2 linked regions of the Callithrix jacchus genome follow. The protein of the gene in region 2 purifies or fractionates together with the protein of the main gene of each other region. This does not show direct contact. Links are inferred from orthologs where the notes say so. Each region holds a gene or a part of one and is shown on either strand. Other genes may lie near its edges. The genes, in order: DDX24 and TSPYL1.

The links.
Region 1: the proteins of TSPYL1 (region 2) and DDX24 purify together in Homo sapiens (affinity purification with mass spectrometry; 3 studies listed by BioGRID and IntAct, counting the BioPlex papers as one, with this or other methods). This does not show direct contact. The link is inferred for Callithrix jacchus from reciprocal best matches to the Homo sapiens genes TSPYL1 and DDX24.

What each region holds. Positions count from the first base shown.
Region 1 is NC_133509.1:128,882,335-128,886,145, forward strand, and holds part of DDX24 (ATP-dependent RNA helicase DDX24), read right to left. Parts: intron 3,658-3,811; exon of another isoform or gene 3,558-3,657; intron 3,420-3,557; exon of another isoform or gene 3,095-3,419; intron 2,062-3,094; coding exon 1,540-2,061; intron 511-1,539; coding exon 357-510; intron 33-356; coding exon 1-32. UniProt on the Homo sapiens protein: ATP-dependent RNA helicase that plays a role in various aspects of RNA metabolism including pre-mRNA splicing and is thereby involved in different biological processes such as cell cycle regulation or innate immunity.
Region 2 is NC_133505.1:122,618,755-122,623,204, forward strand, and holds the start of TSPYL1 (testis-specific Y-encoded-like protein 1), read right to left. Parts: upstream 2,831-4,450; 5' UTR 2,733-2,830; coding exon 1,446-2,732; 3' UTR 1-1,445.

The sequences.
Region 1 (3,811 bases), on a different chromosome or scaffold from region 2:
CCATCCGGTCAGCCTCATCCACTACCAGGCACCTGCAGATCCAGAAAGATCCATATCACTGGTCAGCAGCAGGTTAAGAGGAATAATCTATAGCACACCCTACTCTCATCCTGAAAACATACATACACACACACACACACACACACACACAAACACACACCCCTCACTACCACCACCACCACCATCCGTGCCTCAACTAATCTCCCTCATGCACACTTGGCTTTCTAGAGGCCAGGGTCTGGATGATACCACACCATGGCATTCTGCGATGGGAAGAAGGCATTGCCTACACCATGTCACCTGAGGCTTGTTTCAGAAAAGGCAGTGAGGGGGAAAGAAGAGATATCATTTATTACCTGAGCTGCCGAAGGTTCCTCAAATGATAATGCTTTTCTTTAATTAGCTCCCACAGCCGTCCTGGAGTGGCAATCACAATCTCAGGATAACGGTTCAGCATCCTCTGCTGTTTCTGCGTGGACATTCCACCAACCAAAATAGCAGTTTTAATTCCTATGGGACAGAATACATAAGGGACACTTATTGAACCTGGGTGCTCATTTTCTTACATGGATGACACAAGCACCCCAGATTAGCCGAGACAGTCACCAGCACAGCATAATGCTCTAGAGCACTGATAAAAGAGCAGGCCTGGCCAGACTGCTGGTGCCACTCCTAGAAGGCTTACCAAGTCTTCTATGAACTGGGTCCTACTTCTTTGACCTCATTTCTTTTCTACTCTCTCCCCTCCAACCACACCAAAGGGGCTGAATTTGAACCCATGTATGCTTACTTCCAAAGCTCTGGGAAAACGGAACACTGGTGTATCACAATGCTATGGGAAATATTACCTGCAGCTGTGCTACACCTCTCCTAGGAAGCCTTTCCCATTCCCTCAATTAGAACTATTCTGAAAAGTCCTCTAATGGCCTGTTCTATTTTCTTCTCTAGTGGAAAACTTCTTAGTATCATGCAGGTGAATGGCTTAGTGCTTTGCACATATTAACAACTTGGTAATTAACTGCTGCTTTTGTTATAAAATTAAAATACCCAGAGTGAAGTCCTTCCCAGAGTGAATTCCCTGAGAGAATTAAATCCTAATTGGTGAGCGCAGGGATCAGCAAACTTTTTCTTAAAAGGTCCCTGGTAAACATTACTGGCCTCTTAGGCCAGATGGTCTCTGTCACAACTATTAACTCTACTCAACTTTGCCTTTATAGTACAAAAGCAGCCATAGACAATATAAAACCAAATGGGTGTGGGCGTGTTCCAGTAAAACTTTACAAAACCAGGCAGTTTGCTAATCCCTGCCCTGAGCATCCAGTGTAGCCAATAAATTTCCCAAGCATCTACAATGGCACCAACTACATATTATCCTTGAGGGAATTGCGAAAATGTCACTTAATTTTTGTAGGGCTTAATTCTTTGGCTCATAGGTAAGAATGGCTTACCCTAGAAGGCAGGAGCATAGCTCATTCATCTTTACCACCCAGCATTTGGGATTTGCTTAGAAAATATTTATTAAATGGAACTAAACCTCACCTGTAAACCTGGCCACAGCATCAATGTGCTGTTTGACCTGGAGAGCCAGCTCTCGAGTGGGTGTCAGAACCAGTCCAAGCAGAGGACGCTTTGGATATGCCTTACAGGTGGCGCTTTTGTCATCCAACTCTTGTTTTAGATTTCCGGGCTGCTCTTCATCAAGCTTTTCCTCCTCATTCTCATTCTGTTTGGGAACAGACTTCTCCCTGATCAGGGAAGACGGCCCTTCACCAGCATCATCATCACCAAAGAGCAACACCTGGTCTGAGACAGTGCCTCCAGTCTTGGCTCTTGCCTCAGCTGCAGTATCACTGGGCAGTGCTTCACTCTCAGTTACAGTATCAGGCAACACTCCAGACTCAGTTTCAGCCTTGCCTGGTGATCTGGTCTCAGCTTCGGCCTCAGTTGTGGTCTCTCTAGGTGGTGCTTCAGTGTTTCTTGGAGCAGCGGCAGCCTTCCTCTTATGCCACTGCAAAACTGCATGAATCATTGGGATGGCAAAGGCAAGAGTTTTCCCACTTCCTTAAAAGTAAAAAAACAAAACAAAATAAACACAGTATGAATCAACAGATGAACATACTTTAGTGTGAAATTCATTCTTTTGCACAGAGTAAGGTAGCCAAGTGCCACCCTGACCAACCGAAAGCTCCTCCACTCTACACAGATTTTACCCCAAGGAACCAGAAGGCACAAGTAAATTAGAACCCAAGGAAAAGTATGGCAGGCTAGCTCTTAGGTCTTAGATCCAAGAAATGAAACAATGAAGAGATAAAGGACAAGTTTTGGGTCTATGTGTTGTTGTGGGGGGTGAAAATTGGTAATCTATACAATACTTTCCTAAGACCTTTCTTTGGTGAGAAAGGACTAAAAGAAAATTTTCCTAGTTTTCAGAAAATTTAAATATAAAACTTTTGTCTATGCCTGAACATTTTCAAACTTGCCTTTCAATGTACACAGAGTCCAAATCATCTGGGTGGTCAAAACAAAACACCTCAGGCAGAGAATTTAAAGAAGTTCCAAAGAGATAATGCCCTAGGCAGAAGCCAATAAATGCTTCCTCTAGGGAGAAACCCTTATCGTAGGTCCCCAAAAATTTTCACAATTTTCAAAGAAAATAAGCAGCTCTCAGTAAAAAATAACCACACAAAAATAAAATACTATAAGGAAGAAAGAGAGCAAAAACAGACACATCAACTTTTTGATAAGAAAAACAATGGGCCAGGCGTGGTGGCTTACGCCTATAATCCCAGCACTTTGGGAGGCCAAGGCGGGTGGATCACAAGGTCAAGAGATCGAGACCATCCTGGTCAACATGGTGAAACCCTGTCTCTACTAAAAATACGAAAATTAGCTGGGCATGGTGGTGCGCACCTGTAGTCCCAGCTACTCAGGAGGCTAAGGCAGGAGAACTGTTTGAACCCGGGAGGTGGAGGTTGTGGTGAGCTGAGATCGCGCCATTGCACTCCAGCCTGGGTAACAAGAGCAAAGCTCTGTCTCAGAAAAAAAAAAAAAAAAAAAACAGACTTTTTACCAGAAACAATGAAAAGCCAGAAGACAGTGTAGCAGTATTTTTTATTTGAATGCGTTTAAAAAAAAAAAACCCTGATGCTTTGGGAAGCTGAGGTAGGTGGATCACGAGGTCATGAGATCAAGACCATCCTGGCCAAGATGATGAAACTCCATCTCCACCGGAACAGGCGCTGGTGTCCATGGCTGAGAGACCCGTAGAAGGTTCACATCACAGGACTCCGTGCAGACAACCCCCAGTACTAGCCTGGAGTTGTCTAGACCCAGAAGAGAGATCTGCAGTTTGATGGCAGCTATTGATGCCACTCCTGGAATCAATAGAATCCATTCACATCCATAGGCATCAATCACATCTATAGGAAAAGGGGGAGAGTACTACATCAAGGGAACACCCCATGGGACAAAAAACACCCCATGTAAACAACAGCCTTCAGCCCTAGATCTTCCCTCTGAAAGAGCCTACCCAAATGAGAAGGAACCAGAAAACCAACCCTGGTAATACGACAAAACGAGGCTCTTCAACACCCCTGAAAAATCACATGAGTTCACCAGCAACGGATCCAAACCAAGAAGAAATCCCTGATTTACCTGAAAAAGAATTCAGGAGGTTAGTTATTAAGCTAATCAGGGAGGGACCAGAGAAAGGCAAAGCCCCAATGCAAGGAAATCCAAAAAATGATACAAGAAGTGAAGGGAGAAACAATCAAGGAAATACATAGCTTAAAGAGAACACAATAAAAAAATT
Region 2 (4,450 bases):
AGTGAAATCAAAAGAACGTACAGCTCAATTTTCACAATAAGCAGAACCAAAAAAATAAGATTTTACAAAATCCTAGTAAAATAACAATCTTCCACATAAATTCGGTCACAAAAGAAGAAAGCAAGCATTCAAGGTTGCACTGTGTTTCTTTAAAGAACCCTTGTCTAGGCAACAATTTAACACTTTAACCCCTTCAATTATCCTTTAACTATCCTGAGAAAAGTATTTCTCCATTCATCACCACTGGGGAGTAAGTACTCCTTCCTCCTCAGCTCAGTCTTCATTCTAGGCCCAATTTTTACCTGGCCCATGCCTCTAGCCGTTTGTTCAGTTTTCCCTGCTTAGTGCACCCATCACAATCTCTTTAGTTCTTCCATCCGTTATAAACTAGATCTCACATTTCATTCCATCCAGATGTGTCTCCCTTTAAGTATTCTAGGAGTTGATAAAAGGGATAGAAAGTTGGGAAGAGAAAAGGGGGCGTGGGGGGAGCAATAAGAGCTGTATTTTACAGGACAACCTCTTTGTCTCTGAAAATGACAGAGCCAAAATAAACTAAAGTTTGCTTTTACAAATATTTCCAAGCTTTTACTTTTTTTTTTTTTTTTTTTTTTTAAAGAGACAGGATTGGGAGGCTGAGGCGGGCAGATCACTAGGTCAAGAGTTTGAGACCAGTCTGGTCAGCATGGTGAAACTCCGTCTCTACTAAAAATACAAAAATTAGCCGGACATGGTGGCACGCGCCTGTAGTCCTAGCTACTCGGGAGGTTGAGGCAAGAGAATCGCTTGAACCCGGAGGCGGAGGTTGCAGGCGGAGATCCAACCTGGGCGACATAGCAAGACTCCGTCTCAAAAAAAGGAAAAAGAGAAATAGGAGCAAAAAGGAAGAGGGAGAGAGGGACCTTGGCAGCAGCCAAAGCAGGGCAGGTAGCAACAGAGTGATTAGAGGTGAAGGAAGAACAATGAAGTACCATAAATCACACAGAACAAGTAGCTCCACTGCTTTTCTCCTCTGAGTTCATTAACGTTCAGTAACTGTCCACAGGCCATGTGCCCATACTGCCCGATGCAGTGTTAAGTAGATAGAATAGGCTCCCAAAGCTAGAAATCCAGGTGATAGCAACCAGTTCAGAGGCCCTGGGAATTAACAGGGTCCAAGCAGTACCAATAAAGGCAGTACCAACTACAGTATCATTTGCTTGGCTTAGTAGTCTGAAGGATGGCGTCGTAGCATGTGATATTCCAGAACAGCATGGAAGTGGAGAAGCATACCCACCACCGTCTCAATCTTGAGGTTGAGAGAAGTGAATATCCAAAGGAAAGAGGGTGCAGAAAAGTCAGCAAAAACAAAACACAGTAGAAGGCATACCATTTCTGTTGCCCAAGCACAGGTCCAGCAGGTGGTGGTAGGAGACCTTGTGCAGGAGTATTCCCAAGGGCAAACGTTAACCCGACTGGAACCCAAAGGGCCTGGGGATCTCAACTGGCTCCCTTAGTGGGCGGCGTCTGGCTCTACGGACTCCTTCACGCAACAGGTAGTATTGCAGTGGATTTGGCCACAGATCCTCTTTAATAATTTCAGCAATTTTGTCGGACTCTGGAAGGCTGTGGTCTGAGAACCAGGTGAAGAAGCTGCAGATGAGGTCTTGGTTTCTGCGAATGAAGGACTGGGGTTCATGCCCCCTGCGCCATATAATTGGAGTGGAAAGAGACACCACTCGGCCGGAAGATCTTACCTCATATTCCTTGACAATCAGCTTGTTTCTGAAGTAGGGGTTTCTTCTAAAGAAGAATTTGAACTTGCAGCCAGTTCTAGGGTGTCTGAGTTCCTTCACCTCTAAATTGGTTATGTACCTTAACATATCTGCATCTTGGCCCCTGATCATGGCGGACAACTGGGGGTGGTTTCGAAAAGCAGTCATCCAGAAGCCCGGGATATTCTGAATGATGTAGTTCCTCCGCTCCAGGTAGTGTCGACGCATCCGCCCAAACTTGTGCTCTAGTTGTTGGAAGGCCCTATCGGCCTGAGCATTCACAGTGTCCAGTTCCTGCTGGATGGCCTCCAGAGGGTCCATGCGGAGAGCCTCATGCAGACGCCACGGCCCTTCCTCCTCCCTCGCCTCTACTTCTTCACCTTCTGGCGGCTGCTCCTCTACCTCCATCTGCTCCTCCACTACCTCCTCCTCCGCCAGGCCTTCCTTCACCACCACCTCAGCCCTCTCCTCCTCAGCCACGGCTGCTGAGACAGTGGCGCACTTTCCTCTCTTCACCTCCTCAGCCTCCGTCCCCGCCCCCGCCGTCAGCTCCGACGCGGACCTCTCGGCGTCACAGATTTCTAGGGCCTTCTCTCCATCCTGAACGCCCTTTTTCAGGCTGTGGTCCGCTGCCCCCACCACAGAAGCGGCTGCCAGGCCCTCGGCAGGAGGCTGGCCCTCTTCCTGCCCGGCTGTGATCGCTACATGACCGCGACCCCCAACAACTCGGATCTGGGGAGTACCGCCACGGCCCGCGGGATCCTGGGGTACGCACCCTTCCTCTGAAGGCTGCGGGGGCGGGAGCGCGACGGTCTCCGAGCCTCCCTCACCCAGCTCCGCCATCACCTGTGTCGCCTCGCTTTTGTCGCGGAGCCTCAGGCACTGGCGTGCGTCCGGGTCGCCCGAGACGTCGTCAGAAATAGGGATGCTGTGCGTTTGAACGGGAGGGGTCTTCTCGACCCCATCCAGGCCGCTCATGTTGGTCACAGTCGGACCGACCTCAGGTCAACGCCCGTTTTCCTCAGAGAAGCAGCGCTCGGAGGTAACTGCCGCTCGCACCGCCCACCCTCGGGTCTGAGGGAAGTCTCTGCGGCGGTGTCGTCAGGCCTGCAGATCTCACGGTATCGCGAGACCTTGCTGAGCCCGGAATTGGTTCCGCCTCTTCCAGCCAGCCAACCGGATTCTCTGGGCTTTACTTCTGTGAATTTACCCATAGCAACAGTCATTTTACCTACGTAAAGAAATGTAGATCGTCCTTAGTTTGGAAGCTGTGACGACCCACCTTGAGATGAATCTGGAGACTGCCCCCAGCATGTGAGAGCAGTTGTAGAATCACAGCCCTAACAGTGCCTGCTCTTAAGTGTCTCAAAACAAATGCTTTTCCGGTCTTCACTTTTTTCAAGGCAGGAAGGCAAATCTATTCCGTGTTACTCCATGTAACTAGGAGCAAAAAGCTTCTCTAAGATGAATAGCAAAATGTTTCTCCCCTTCTTAGTAAAAGTGACATAAAAATATAAAGTCTAGCCTTTACCATTACTGGGGGTGGGGGGAAGCTACTCAGCAGCTTCTTACCACTAAAGCGATGCGTATTATTCATTGCTAATTCTCGATTTATAATCTCCATCAAATAAGAGTTTGTGCTGCATAATATCGGTAGGAATTAAGCCAGGATCAATTTGCTAAATGTTGTTCCATGCCTCCTCACTGCAAGAAAGAAGAAATGATAACTATTTCCGGCCCCATAAACTTAATTTATTATGTTTAGTTAAGTAAGATAGGAATGTTTGGCTCTAATGAGGCATCTGTCTTTAGCAATCAGCTAAGAGTATTAGAGAGGAAGGTCAATGTCTCTGGTTGAAGTGTTCCCGTTTGTTAACTTGTGAGTTAAACTTGTGTTATCTTAGAGAGTTACAAGGCCTCAGAGAAGTATCAGCTGGGGGAGCCACATACCACCATTTTGTGAGGAAAGGCTAATTAAAATGGACAACCAATGTGGCCTTGAAGTAGAAAACAAACTTGCAAAGAGCAACATGCAGCTGGTTGACTCAAAGTGTAAAAGAGGCAAACATTATTTTCCACTTAATTTGCCTTGTGTGGTAGTAGGCTGATGGCCCTCAAAGATGTGCCTGTCTTATGTGGCTAAGAAGACTTCACAGATATGATTCAGTTAAAGATTTGGAGATGGGAAGATGATTCTGGATTATACAGGTGGGCCCTATGGAATTACAATATTTCTTTTAAGAAGGAGGCAGGAGGGTCAGTCAGAGAAGATGTAAGGACAAAAGCACAGAAAGAGGGAAGAAATGGTGGAAAATAGGAGGGGGAGCAAGGAAAGGGAAATTGCTATGTTGCTGACTTTGAAGATGGAGGAAGGAGCCAGGATCCTAGGAATAAAAGTAGCCTCTAGAAGCTTGAAAGGTAAGGAAATAGATTCTACCCTAGAGCCTCCAAAGGAATGCCAACACCTTGAGGTTATTACCTATAACCTCCAGCACTATAAGATAAATTTGTGTATTTTTAAGCTATTAAATTTGTTGTAATTTGTTACAGAAGCAATATGAAGTGAATACACCTTGGATTAAGGTTTGGTTGCATCTGCGCGTGCCTCAAGCTGTTTCTAATAGCAGCCCCTTCTGCCTTGCTCATTGCTTCCCATGAGTTCCTGCCTAACAGTTGTGATGTATTACAGCTTAAAC